3 linked regions of the Mus musculus genome follow. The protein of the gene in region 1 interacts with the protein of each later gene in a biochemical or structural test. Links are inferred from orthologs where the notes say so. Each region holds a gene or a part of one and is shown on either strand. Other genes may lie near its edges.

Evidence for each region.
Region 2: the proteins of Angpt1 (region 1) and Tie1 interact in a biophysical measurement, tested with the Homo sapiens proteins (2 studies listed by BioGRID and IntAct, with this or other methods). The link is inferred for Mus musculus from reciprocal best matches to the Homo sapiens genes ANGPT1 and TIE1.
Region 3: the proteins of Angpt1 (region 1) and Tek form a complex in vitro, tested with the Homo sapiens proteins (6 studies listed by BioGRID and IntAct, with this or other methods). The link is inferred for Mus musculus from reciprocal best matches to the Homo sapiens genes ANGPT1 and TEK.

What each region holds. Positions count from the first base shown.
Region 1 is NC_000081.6:42,495,009-42,499,244, forward strand, and holds part of Angpt1 (angiopoietin-1 isoform 1 precursor), read right to left. Parts: intron 1,452-4,236; coding exon 1,219-1,451; intron 1-1,218. UniProt on the Homo sapiens protein: Binds and activates TEK/TIE2 receptor by inducing its dimerization and tyrosine phosphorylation.
Region 2 is NC_000070.6:118,486,753-118,491,448, reverse strand, and holds the start of Tie1 (tyrosine-protein kinase receptor Tie-1 precursor), read left to right. Parts: upstream 1-1,599; 5' UTR 1,600-1,743; coding exon 1,744-1,801; intron 1,802-4,696. UniProt on the Homo sapiens protein: Transmembrane tyrosine-protein kinase that may modulate TEK/TIE2 activity and contribute to the regulation of angiogenesis.
Region 3 is NC_000070.6:94,737,630-94,742,385, forward strand, and holds the start of Tek (angiopoietin-1 receptor isoform 2 precursor), read left to right. Parts: upstream 1-1,659; 5' UTR 1,660-2,011; coding exon 2,012-2,063; intron 2,064-4,756. UniProt on the Homo sapiens protein: Tyrosine-protein kinase that acts as a cell-surface receptor for ANGPT1, ANGPT2 and ANGPT4 and regulates angiogenesis, endothelial cell survival, proliferation, migration, adhesion and cell spreading, reorganization of the actin cytoskeleton, but also maintenance of vascular quiescence.

The DNA of each region.
Region 1 (4,236 bases):
CATGTAGACTTATCTTGTGTATTCCTATCTATACATGAAAGTACTGAACAAAGTTTTTTATTTTTCTTTTGGAGCAAGCATCTGCCACATGCGTTCATTGCACACTCACACTGAACCGTGATGTGAGTGGTCACATAAGCCACAGCTCAATGACTGCAATCAGTTTCAGATGTAAGCAGCTCTCTTGCTCCTCCCCACTTACTGGCCCATCTCCATGCAGAAAGACCAATGGCAATGTGAAACTGCACAAGATGATCACATGCTCTGAACTTTAAAGCCTCATACTGCAGGTCATGGGTCTGCTTAAACTGTATATGTATAAAATGGCATTTCTTCAAGAATGACTGGGTGAGAATGGGGAGGGATGTTCAGAAGGAAAAGGAATTTGCTGCATGAGTCTGGTGACATAAATTTGCTTTCCAGCACCCATATAAATGTGCAAGCAGAGAAGAAAGTCCATGAAGTTGGCCCCTGATCTACACATGCACATTATGGCACACATATGCACATATTCACACTTGCAGCAGCCCCACACACAATAAAGAAAAATAATGCATGGACATATTGACAAGCTGTGTGGTTATACGGTTCCAGGTATTCAAGTCATAGAGAATTGTAAGTTCCATCATGACAAACACATCCCAAAAGTGCTTAGATATCTCTGTTATATCTCTGCATAAAACCAAGAACAAGGGATCTTAATGGATACTTTAGAACCATCTTTTCTTATGATAATAACTATTGTGGACTATCTCTTTCACCATTTTTCTACTTGTAATAAAGTCCCCTCTCCTGTCTCCTGAAAATGGAAGCAATTAAAATTAATTATGAAACCAGAAATACCCCAGGTTACCCCAGAAGTCTGAACTAATTCTAAGTGTTCCTTAATTTATGTCCTAGACATAAGTTACATTGTAATGTCAAATATATAACAATGACAGTATGAGAGATTTTATCAAGGTTACAAAATATCAAGAATGAAAGACAAATTCTAAAATTTCTTTTAGAATGAAATTGCAGATCCAAAAACTTAAAAATAAATGTTCTGAACTTAGAGAGCTGTGAAAATTGTCAACTAAATCTTATAAATGCTTTTCAAAATAATGTCTGTCCACAGATTTTTGCACTGGCATTGAAGCTGCAGAGGACATAGTAGCAAAAATCTACTCTCCTGCATGAAAGAAAATATTTCCAAAGCCAGAAGGAAAGAACTCTTACCACCTTCTTTAGTGCAAAGGCTGATAAGGTTATGAACTGTGTCCATGAGCTCCAGTTGTTGCTTCTGCAGGATGCTGTTGTTGTTGGTAGCTCTACTAAGTTGCTTCTCCAACTCCTGGATGATGAATGTCTGACGAGAAACCAAGCCTTGAAGGTTTTCTTTCTCCTCCTTCAAGGTGTCCAATTCTTCTTTGTGTTTTCCCTCCATTTCTAAGATTTTGTGCTCTAGTAAACTACAAGGAAATGAAAATAAGACATAATTCATACAGTGCTGGAGAGACAATACTGCAATTCTACTTGTTCCCAAGAGTAAGATTAGAAGCTTTAATTATTAAGTATATATGTCTGTGTGCATGTGTATATATGTACAGCTATGCACATGTGCTCAGACATGCCATGATGCATGCAGATTTCATACAATGACATATAGGAGTCAGTCCCTTCCTATCTCTATCTGAGGATAGAACTCAAATCATCAGACTTGGCATTAAAGGACCCTAAGCCCTGAGCAGTCCTGCTGGCTCATAAAAGTATTTCTTTTAAGAGACAAAAGTCTATGTAGTATTAGCCATTTGAAAAACACACATCAAAACTCCCCTGAGATTCTACTTCACCCTGGGCAGAATGTCATCATTAAGAGAATAGCAACAGAGCCCCGGAGCACTTACTGCTCTTCTGGAGGACTCAGGCTCTGTGCTCAGTAACCACATGGCATTTCAACCTGCAACTTCATTTCCAGAAGGCTGAATGCCTCTTCTAACTTCTATTGGCCCATGCATGCACATGGTGCATGTATACACATAATTAAACAATTACAACAATATCATCAAATGCTGACAAAATATGGACCAAATGAAATGCTTATATACATAAGAATCTACTAAGGCAGGTTCTTCACTATTTATTAACCAATTCTTAATAAATCTAGCCTGCATCATCACAACTCCTAGCTTTACATGTGACACCAGACTTCTGGATAAGAGCATCATGGGCTCTGAAATCACTATGCAGTTGTCTTGGGTAAGGAAGAACTCATTAGGTGAATATCATAGTCTTACAGGAAACATGGAGTACTTTGCCCAGAGTGACGCAACCTTACAAAGCTTCTCTCAACACTCTCTAAATGATACTTTCCTTGTATACTGTGCAGGAAAACCTACAAAACCGCAGAAGCCCTTTTGGATCAGAGGAACTGACTTAAAATAAAAAGCATTTTTTCACTTTATAGAGTGTCTAATATACTAGTATTCTTCAGGGAAAAGGCTTACGCAGTTTTCTTAGTTCTGTTTTCAGGCCATTCTAGCAGATCTTAGTTTACAAGGTGCTATTCCAATGCAGCACACCCAGAATGGGCACTTAATTTACCTTGGAGAAATATAGAGCTGAATCACTCCTATAAGTCTTCAAAAAGAAGACACTGGGGAGTATTTTAAATTTAATACTTAAATTATACAATCTAGTGTGTTTGAAGAGTCAAACTTTCCAACTGTTTGTGCTAAGGGGCAAGATGCAACATCTGATTGGCTTTTGCACAGATGAAGAAGTGTGGCAAGAAATGCTCAAGGGGATTCCAGGTCTCTGCTAACAAATTTGCTCTCCTAAGAAGAAGGTGGCCCAGGATATAGCAGAACAGCTGCTGGGAAGCTGGGTCTATGTGTGAGTCCTGCCTAACTCACAGAATTTTTGAGAGTGTGCCAAGATTGACAAATGAAATTTTCACATTGATACTTCGCCCCCCACCCCCCCCCAAAAAAAAACAAGCCATTTTTCTCTCTTGAGTTTCCTTTCTTTTACTCCATTGAGTTTCCTTTCTGTTACTCCATTGAGTTTCCTTTCTTTTACTCCATTGAGTTTCCTTTCTGTTACTCCATTGAGTTTCCTTTCTTTTACTCCATTGAGTTTCCTTTCTTTTACTCCATTGAGTTTCCTTTCTTTTACTCCATTGAGTTTCCTTTCTTTTACTCCATTGAGTTTCCTTTCTTTTACTCCATTGAGTTTCCTTTCTGTTACTCCATTGAGTTTCCTTTCTTTTACTCCATTGAGTTTCCTTTCTTTTACTCCATTGAGTTTCCTTTCTTTTACTCCATTGAGTTTCCTTTCTTTTAGTCCATTGAGTTTCCTTTCTTTTACTCCATTGAGTTTCCTTTCTTTTACTCCACGCCTGTACAGGAAGAATCCCTACCTTCTGCTGAGCATACAGGGAACTCAATTTGGAAAGTAAGTAGCTGAAATCCTGAGGGTCATTTCTATTTGTTTAAATCCCTGTTTAGGAGTGAAAAGGTTAGTCAAGTAAGTTGAGGGAGATGAAAGAAAATATTTCTAGGGGCTAAGATGATAAAGTGTCTTTTTTTCTGTGCCAGAGTTTGTTGCTGCTAGAGAAACTCATTGTTAAAAAACAAAAATAAGGTACAGAGAGGGGTGGAGGGACAAAGGCAGTCAATGTTTCTATTGTTCATAGTGGTTAAAAATGCCATCCACTTAGTAGTTAACTGGCAAGTTCACTGCTGTGGGTACAGAGGAGCCTTCCTCTCTGCTTGGAGATTTTTGGCTTTTGATCTGAGCGTTAACCACAACTGATACTTCAGCTCATTTTTAGCCTACTTTTTAGTTATGTTTGCTCCTATTTCTGGAATAGTGATCAGATACATGACTCCCACAATTTATAGTCATTAACTTATTAGGAAACTGTGCCTCAGACTCACATGAGTTACGGTATACCACCAGGAAACCTTTAGCATTAACTATTAAAATGAGGATCGTGTATATATAGCTCATGACTTGGAAGCTAAAGCGTCATATGATGTGGTACAAAAGCTCTAAATAAACAGTTATTTTCCACAAGCAAAATCAGAGCTGACCTTCCAGGTTTCCTAATTAGCAGGCGATATCAGATTCTAGTTATAAGTCATACTTATTAGTTGCTAAATGCCAATATTTATGCAGAATATAAGATGGTAGTATTTCTTCAGAAAAGATTTTCTTTATAGACAGTAATCCTCAGAGAAAAATTATGAGCAA
Region 2 (4,696 bases), on another chromosome or scaffold:
AGGCTTGGAGATCCTTATCTGGATCTTGGTTTGAAGATCTTGAGCCGTAGTGGCTATGGATTCCAGAAGATTGAATCTCCGAGTTAAGGAACACACCTTTAATCTGGGCTATGCCTTTCATCTGGGATTAAAGGTGTGGTGGAACACACCTTTAATCCGGGCTACACCTTTTGCTGGAGACAATATAAGGACATTGGAAGAAGGGAGTCTAGCTCTTGCTCTTGTTCCTTTGCCTGCTTGCTGCGTGAGACTGAGTAACTGCTAGATCCTTGGACTTCCATTCACAGCTGCGACTGAATCATTGTTGGGAATTGGGCTGCCAACTGTAAGTCATCAATAAATTCCTTTACTATCTAGAGACTGTCCGTAAGTTCTGTGACTCTAGAGAACCCTGACTAATACACCAAGTTTCCTGATTTAAAAGACGCTGAAGCAGTTCAGAAATTCTTCCTTGAAGAGACACAGCTTGGTGAAGGGTTATTAGCACAAGGTGACTACGAGAAGGGTGTGGACCACCTGACAAATGCCATTGCTGCCTCCGCAGCTGCTGCAAGTGTTCCAGCAGACTCTTCCACCACCAGTGTTCCAGATGCTCCTGACCAAGCTTCCGACCGTTAGTCAGAGAACTGTAAGTGCTCAGAGCCTGGCTGACAATGATCTGGAATGAACCAGATAACAACATAATAAAATCTCAGTAAAATAATTTAACAGTTAGCTTGGAAGCTGGTCAGCTCTGGGGAAATCAGGGTAAATTGTGCTGTCATGAACTGTCCCACACTGACATCGGCCAAAGTGAATATGAACTTTGGTAGATCCAATGCCTGTTCTATTTATTTTTCCAGTGAAAAGTATTTTGATAGAGCTTTTCATTTTGTAAATACACTGAGTTAACCAAAATATCATGGATTTCCGTTTGTTCTTAAGACATGCAACTCGTCTACGGCTATACCACTCTGAACGCGCCCGATCTCGGAAGACATGCAACTCAAATGTAAATACAGTAGAATATTACTTAGGTAGAAACTCCTGGTGATTTTAAAAGATTGGAAAAGAATATGAGGAAGAGTTGAATAATGCAAATTCTAGTGTGTGTGCTACCGAAGTGAACACTTAATGCACAGTCTACAGACTAGGACATTTTATCGTGTGTTGTAAAATTGGGTAGAAACTTGTGTTTGTGAAAACTGAGCATTAAAACCTTACAGAGACCGTTTCTTGTTTACTTTTGAAAAAAAAAAGAGTCACGTGAGCCTCATTTTGTATTTGTGTGTGTGTGTGTGTGTGTGTCTCCCCTCCTCCCAGCGTGTGTGTGCTGGGAGGAGGGGAGACCCCAGAACAATGTCCTGCCTCCAAACCTTCTCAATAGGCGGAAGCCACTGGCTTCCTCCCTTTCCTGTCTCCCGTGCTCCAGCAATGCAGATGGAAGGGACCGAAGGGATGGGAGAGAGAGCCCAACCATCCCCAGATCTGTCCTTGTCACAACCTGCCTCCCACCTCTAATGCCCCCCCTTCCAGAGACTTCCAGGCCACACCCATCCCGGGCTTGTGGGGGCTGGACACGGGAGGACTACAGGCGACAACTCTTCCCACCCTCTCTCCCTGCCACCCCTCCTACCCTAACCATCATTTCCTCTTCCTCCCCAGCACCGAGGTGCACTGAGCTGGACAGGCTGAACACTCAGACCCACAGCAACTGACCCCGGGCCCAGCTGGCCTTGGCTGGCCCAGGGCAGCTTCCAGAGTATGGTCTGGTGGGGATCCTCTTTGCTGCTCCCCACTCTTTTCTTGGCCTCTCATGTTGGTAAGTCTTCCCTGGAGTGAGCAGAGCTCCTCCCTGACTCTTGATTTCAAGGCCTTAATTCCAGCCCCCGACCCCCAAGAAACCCTAGCCTAGCCTAGCAATAGACCTCACAATATGGTGGTGAGCATGGGTTGGGGGAAGGGAAATAGAGAGTTATTGTTTAATGAGTGTAGCATTTCAGTTAGGGTGTGGTGGTGGACTTCTTTAATCCCAGCACTTGGAAGGCCAGCCTAGACTACACAGAGGACTCCATGTTAGCCCCATAAAGACTTATGGAGACCTTACGTCAAAAACAAAAACAAGAGCTGTGGAAATGGGTGGTGATGTTCACATGAGGTTATGAATGCATTTATTAACACTGAATTGACTGTTTACAAGTGGTTCTAACGGTAGATTCTAGGGTATGTGTATTTTAACACAACTTAAAAATTGCAGGGACAAGCAGAAACTGACATCATCATCATCATCGTCGTCGTCATAGCGTCATGACGATTTTGATCCACCAAGAATGAGGTCAGGGTGGGGAAAACTCAGGCAGGTGCTAGGAATCACTGCCTGGAGGGGGGAGAGGTGAGTAGGGGCAGAAGTCAGCCATCAACTTGGACCTCACGAGTAACTGTGTTGGGCTTAATCAATAATTCATTGGACAGACAAGCATGGTGGCTTTAACTCCAGTACTCAGGAGGCAAAAGCAGGTAGATCTCTGAGGTTCGAAGCCAGCCTGGTCTACATAGCAAGTCCCAGGACAGCCAGAACTACATAGAGAGACCCAGTCTCAAAATAATAACAATAATAATAATAATAAAATTTATTTAGCACCAATGATGTTCCATTAGTTGAGAATATGGCAACACCTAAACCTATCATATGACAACTAAATGATGCTGGGCTCCCAAAGGTTGATACGTTTGTTGTTTAAATGGAGCTGTGTGTACAGAGGGCATGGAGAAGCTTCTGAATGCTGGTGGCAGGTCCTTTCAGTCTGCTGACCAGAGAACTAGAAGTCAGAGGCTGCCTTTGAGTGGTTCTGTCTGGTGGGAAACACAGGCCAGGAATGAGGGCCAGACAGAAGCAGACATCAAGAGCTTTTGAGAAGCACTGAGAAGAGAGTCAGCTTACTCTGCCACAGGACCAGAAAAGTCATGAAGGGTTTCCCTAAGAGAGGTAGTCAACAGAGTAGCAAGTGCAAGCTTGGGAGGTATGGAAGCCCATAAGAAAAAACTGTAGGCCAGGCAGTGGTAGTGCACGCCTTTAATCCTAGCACTTGGGCAGCAAAGGCAGGCGGATTTCTGAGTTCAAGGCCAGCCTGGTCTACAGAGTGAGTTCCAGGACAGCCAAGGCTACACAGACAGGGCTATACAGAGAAACTCTGTCTCAAGAGAAAAAAAAAAGAAAAAAAAGAAAAAGAAAGAAAAGAAAAGAAAAGAAAAGAAAAGAAAGACGAGAAAAAGAAAAAAAGAAAAGAAAAAGAAAAACCTGCAGAAGTATGTGCCAGCAGACTGGAAGCTAAGGGAAGAGGAGCCTGGGCTTGGACAACCTGGCTCTGCTCCCTTCTAACTGTATGACCTTAGGCAAGTTTTGAGCTTTTGCTCCCTGGTTATAAAACCATCATCCTGGAAGAGGATAACACTCACCTCCCAGGACAGTGTGGTCCTGAAAGGACGAGAGCATCACTAAAGGGCCCCGGCACATAATTGACATCCAATAAACATTAATTATTATGACAGCAGGAACACAAGATGACTCTGAAGTTAGTGTCTCAGGTAATGGGTGTTATCCTTTGACTCAGAAAGCTTGGGAGAGGTGAGGGTGTAGCTTAGGAAACACAGATGCAAATGCATTGGGAGCTGAAAGGCCACACCAGAGCTACTGACTCAGGGGTGACAGTTAATGCCGAGGGAGTGGATGAATGTGCTCCGTAGTTATTACAGCAAAGGATGTCAACTTCACTGGAAGCCATGAGGATGCCAGGGAGAAAGGGCATTTGGTGCCCGCGAGGTGGCCAAGAGATGCCAGCTTCTTTGGCTTACGATAGACCGTCAAAAATATGCTAAGTGGCATTTAAATGAATTGATGACCTGACAGCTAACAGGCAGGGAAGGGCCAGGGAAGGAGGGGCCTTGGAAGGTCTGGGGTCACAGGTCTGAAGCAGGCTGATCACATTCTTCTCCTCGGTCTTGCCCACTTCAGGGTACAGATTTTACGCTCCAGTTGCACTAGCCCGGGGCAGCTCCCCTCCCCACACTACAACATTTCTCATACTTGAGCGTAGGGTGGCCTCTCCCTACGCCTGACCTTTCGTTCCTCCTCACCCAAGCACCTTCTAATGAAGTTTGTTATCTGCATCTTTTCCTGTCCCCTTTCCTTCCCCCGCCCCCCTGCTGGTTAGATGTTCCTCCCTCTGAGCCAACACCTCCATCTGGGAGGGATGCCTGTGTCTGGTCCTCCAGCTTCCCAAGGTAGGGCCCAGACCCACCTGTGTCTGTGTCTCTCTGGCCCTAACCGATCTTCAATCCCAGCCAGTCAAATAGTCCTCAATTAGTTAAGCAAGAAAGAGGGTGTGCGTCCTCATGACACTCCAGTCTCAGCGACTCTTCTAACCTGCACCTCCATGATGGGGCAGGGACAGGTGGCTCAGGGATAGCCTTGGTGGGAATGGTTCACACAGGAGTCAGGGCAATGACCTGACACGGACAGAGTAAGGGAAGGAGACAGAAGCGTAGCTCATTCCCTGTCTGGACCAGAGAAGGATGTGTGCTTTTGTTTATGTTTTAGGACGAAGAGGCTTGCAGGTAAAGAGCGAGCACATGTGTAAGGGAAGGGAATGGGCGGAAATCTTTGAAAAAGTGAAGTCTTCTAAGGACACAGTGAAATATTAACACAAGTTACTGTTGG
Region 3 (4,756 bases), on another chromosome or scaffold:
ATGACCTTGAACTCTTAATCCATTCCCAAAGTGTTGTTGTCATATGTTTGCACCACTCCTGGCTTCATAGTGTTTTTAAAACACCCATGGAGAGTCGGGTGTGAAGATCCACACGTCTAACCTCAGCATCTGGTGAATCAAGGCAGGAGGGCGGGTGGTTGCAGGCTGGCTATAATATCTAAGTTTCAGTTAGTAAGGGCTGCATAATGAAACACTGTCTTAAACACAAAACCAAAACCCATGAAGGAGATACTATTGCCATTTAAAAGTCTCTGGAATGGAAATAGCTATCATAATCTTACCTCTGAGCCAGTGTCTGCCCTCAGGTGTGCCTGAGGACTGAACAGGGCTATGCACTCCTCAGGTTGGAAACATTACTAGTCCTCAGTGTCTGCTCTTGACCTGTTAACAGCTGAGTCAGGGTCTGCCCTCAGCTGTGCCTGAGGACAGAGCTGAGCTATCTACCCCTGCAGATTGGAAGCATTACAGGCACTCAAGATCAGCCCTGAAGTGATAAAACCTAAGGCAGAAATCCACCAAGACTAGCAGTGCCTCCGTGTCTCTTCCTGTGGCTGGTGGGAAAGGGAGGGGCAGTCCTTCCTTGATGCAAGGTCGTGTGTCTAGTGGCATGCTTGCTTCATTCCCAGTGAGAGCAAGTGATCACCTGGGTAAGGAAGGTTCAGGTGCCTGAGCTTGCTGGAGAATTCATCACTCATCCATCACTCTGCTCCTGTAGACATAATCACTTCTGTTGGGTCTTTATAGAGATGATTTATAACTTTGTTGTTTATAGTTTTTATGAATGTGTGTATTCATTTAGGTCACATGGGAGGTGCACATTTTCAGGTGTCTGTCTTTCCATCACACGGGCTTTGAATTAAACTCAGTCTTGGTTTTACCGGCTGAGCCATCTCACCTGCCTGATTATTTAAAAATCTCCGGAGTAATCCAAGAGTGTGGTTTATGATTGTAGTATCAACACTCGGGAGGCTGAGGGAGCATCGTTATCATGAGCTCCAGGCTAGTTCCAGGCTTGCCTAAGCTGTAGAGCAAGTCACTCTCTTAAAAAGTGCCTCTCCCATATTTTTGTATATAATTTGCATCTGAAATTCTGTTTGCCAATAACTATGAAATTATTCACATTACTAAAATCTTCCTGTGCCAAGTTCTCCAACGAATTAGATCACACTCAGATGAAATGCTAATAAAAATTAAAGCTGTAGCCAGTAGCATGCGTATATTTGGGCTCAGGGCCAACAGGCAGGCGATCTGGGTGTAAGAAAATAGGCTAATGGCTGTGGAATCTGGTCTCTAGTGGCTCCGCTGAGAGCTGACCTCAACCACGCTCCCTCAAATTGATTGCCTTCCAGGTTATGATTTCTCATCACAGGAAACTTTGTTGCCCAATTCAAACCCTGTGAGTGAAAACAAAAACAGGAGAGCAAGTGCTGCTCCCCGTGCCCCAAAGCCCCTTCTGTCAGGGATCCCAAATGCACCCCAGAGAACAGCTTAGCCTGCAAGGGCTGGTCCTCATCGCATACCATACATAGGTGGAGGGCTTGTTATTCAATTCCTGGCCTATGAGAGGATACCCCTATTGTTCCTGAAAATGCTGACCAGGACCTTACTTGTAACAAAGATCCCTCTGCCCCACAATCCAGTTAAGGCAGGAGCAGGAGCCGGAGCAGGAGCAGAAGATAAGCCTTGGATGAAGGGCAAGATGGATAGGGCTCGCTCTGCCCCAAGCCCTGCTGATACCAAGTGCCTTTAAGATACAGCCTTTCCCATCCTAATCTGCAAAGGAAACAGGAAAAAGGAACTTAACCCTCCCTGTGCTCAGACAGAAATGAGACTGTTACCGCCTGCTTCTGTGGTGTTTCTCCTTGCCGCCAACTTGTAAACAAGAGCGAGTGGACCATGCGAGCGGGAAGTCGCAAAGTTGTGAGTTGTTGAAAGCTTCCCAGGGACTCATGCTCATCTGTGGACGCTGGATGGGGAGATCTGGGGAAGTATGGACTCTTTAGCCGGCTTAGTTCTCTGTGGAGTCAGCTTGCTCCTTTATGGTAAGTTTTGGCTTGATGTTTATTTGTGTGTGTGTGTCATGTTTTAACAACAGTGACTTCTCGCCATTCTCTCTCTCACCAAACCTTCGATTTGGTGACCCTGACACTGCTTTTCTGAGACTCTCCAGTTTACACATGGCAACGGTTTTGAAGTTCAGATTCCAGCGGCACCAGCTGGGTTTTCTAGCCATCTCTTGTAGACAGATGCTGCCTCCTGGGTTGCACGGTCTCTCCCAGGACTGAGTAAGTCACCTTATTTGAAGGGATCTGGTTTTTTTTTTTGTTTGTTTGTTTTTTGTTTTTTGTTTTGTTTTGTTTTTTTTTTTGGAGTATTCTTTCTTGCCTCTCATTCTGGTGTTTTCTTATCCATAACAACAAATTTGGGTTGTAATCACTTTAAAGAAAGACTTCAATGATTTTTTTTTTTTTTTTTGGTAGAAACAAAATTCTTACCTAGCCATGTACAAAAACGTCATTGTTAACTAAAAACAAGACCACTTTTCTGTAAAGATTGTGTATCTCCATGCTTTTTAATTTCAGTAGTCCAGTTAAGGGCTTTTCGTCTTTTAGGTAGGGGTCCAGGAGTTAGGGCTATGCCACTGACTTTAATTTTTTGATGTTTCACATAAAGATTAGCCCTAGCAAGCTAACTAAAATGTAGTCAATTACCAAGCTCACCGGATTCAGTATTTTGCCAAGTCCTGTAGTGGCACCTCTAGAGAGGGCAGCCAGGATGAGCTTGGGTTCTGTATGTGTATCACAGGCTCTACACAGTGGGGTGCCTTGTAACTCACTCAGCATAGGTAAACCATGCTAGGAGAAACATGGGGACCCAAACTGCAGATCACAGACACATTATCATTGCCATAGGATTCCCCGAATTGGTTTGGAAGTATTCTAATTATTATGATAAAAATGTAATTGACACAGGAGATGAATTTGGGAAAATTTATCAAACTTAATGGTGAGGCTATATATAGTATAGCATTTGATACAAAGAAATACTTTTGATGTTACTTTTATATTTTTCTATATGTTTAAATATTTTGTTAAGTATTCAAAAAAATTTAACCCAGTAAAGTATGATAATTGTGTGCAATTTCTCATGTAACTTTTCAATTTGATTTCAACAACCAACATATCAGAAATTTAATAATATTTAAGAGTAATGTAAATTGCTGAAAGAGTATCTAAGATGGTGCCAATTACTTATGTAGTAACTTACTTATAATTAACATAACAGCATAATATATTGCTGTAAATTTGGATTCGTCTTTATATTAATGTAGAGACAGGTTGATGTCTTTGTTACTATGTACTTTTAAATAATAATTATGGTTCCTCACTTTCATCTTGCTTTCCACAAGTCACACTGATCAGCGTTATAGAATATGGGACTGATTTTACACCAGAGACTATAATAATACAAAGTCCAAGTATCTAGTTCTGCTCTGACTTAGTTTTAAGTTAAATAAACTAATAGTATGTTCACATACGTATGTGCACGCACACATACACAGAACTATTTTAACTTAGTCTTTCTCCTTAAGTGACTTTTTTATGGCATTTTACAAATAAGTTTAGAAAAGTTGTCATGAATTCATACAAAAAAGTTCTGTTCCAAAACAGTTGTCTCACTGATGCTAGAAACTGATTTCTGGAGCGAAGATGACAAGAAGGAGGAGGTCATGTTCTTGTCAGAAAGTAGAACACAGAAAGCTTGGTTTCTGCTGAAGGTCTCTGTTAATTCCTGACTTTCATTCTGTACCCAAGCTTCCATGAACTTGAGTGAGGCTTGGTGATCACACAAACAGCCTCAGGAGTTCTTCCTTCAAGTCAGACTCTAATAGTGTACTTCATTAATGTGGAAGGGGATATAGAGCTTATATGTCTAGTCTACTTGGTGGCCTGATATTCCTTTTTTGTTGAACAAACATAATGGAAGAATAAAGACTCTGTATTTGCCTCAATAAAGGTTGCTCTGGGTAGCAAAGCAGCCTGCTAAGGCATAAACTGGAAGAGGTTTGTGGCTTCCATAACAACTCAGATTCTGGCGCTTGCTCCTTCCACTGGAGTATTATTGCCAATTTCAGCTTGCAAACAAGTTCTCATAGAACTTAGCAGTGTTACCCCCTCTTTAATTCCATATCTACACCAAACCTGGCTGCAGGCTCTAAAGAATTGTGTACACTTAAAAAAAAAAAAAACACCACTTCTGTTTCATCATGGATGTCCTATATGATTCACACTGATAGGAAGTCTTCAGGTCACACATCTTCAGCTGTCTTTCCTGTCTTGTGTGACATTTTAAACAACTGGATTCAGAGATAACAGAGATGTTGTCTGGGCTGGCAAAGGAAACGCAATAGTAAGGTCAGGAAAGTGGTCCCAGGAGCCTTCTCCTTGGACTGGGATCAGGACACCTCTTGGGATTGTTTTCCAAGGGAAGATCTGGCCTTCTACAGAAACTCTCCCTTCCAACCATTGCTCTTGTTAGCACTTCCCCCTTAGCCCTACCCTGAAAGAACTTCCAGGAAGAGTCTAATTTTTCTATGACATCTCTCCAGGAGGAAAGAAATTATCCAAGTCGATCTCAAAAGACTATGCTGTGTCCTTTTAGAACTTTCCTAATGCTGTGACCCTTTAATACAGTTCTTCATGGTGTGGTGAGCCCCAGCCATAAAATTATTTTC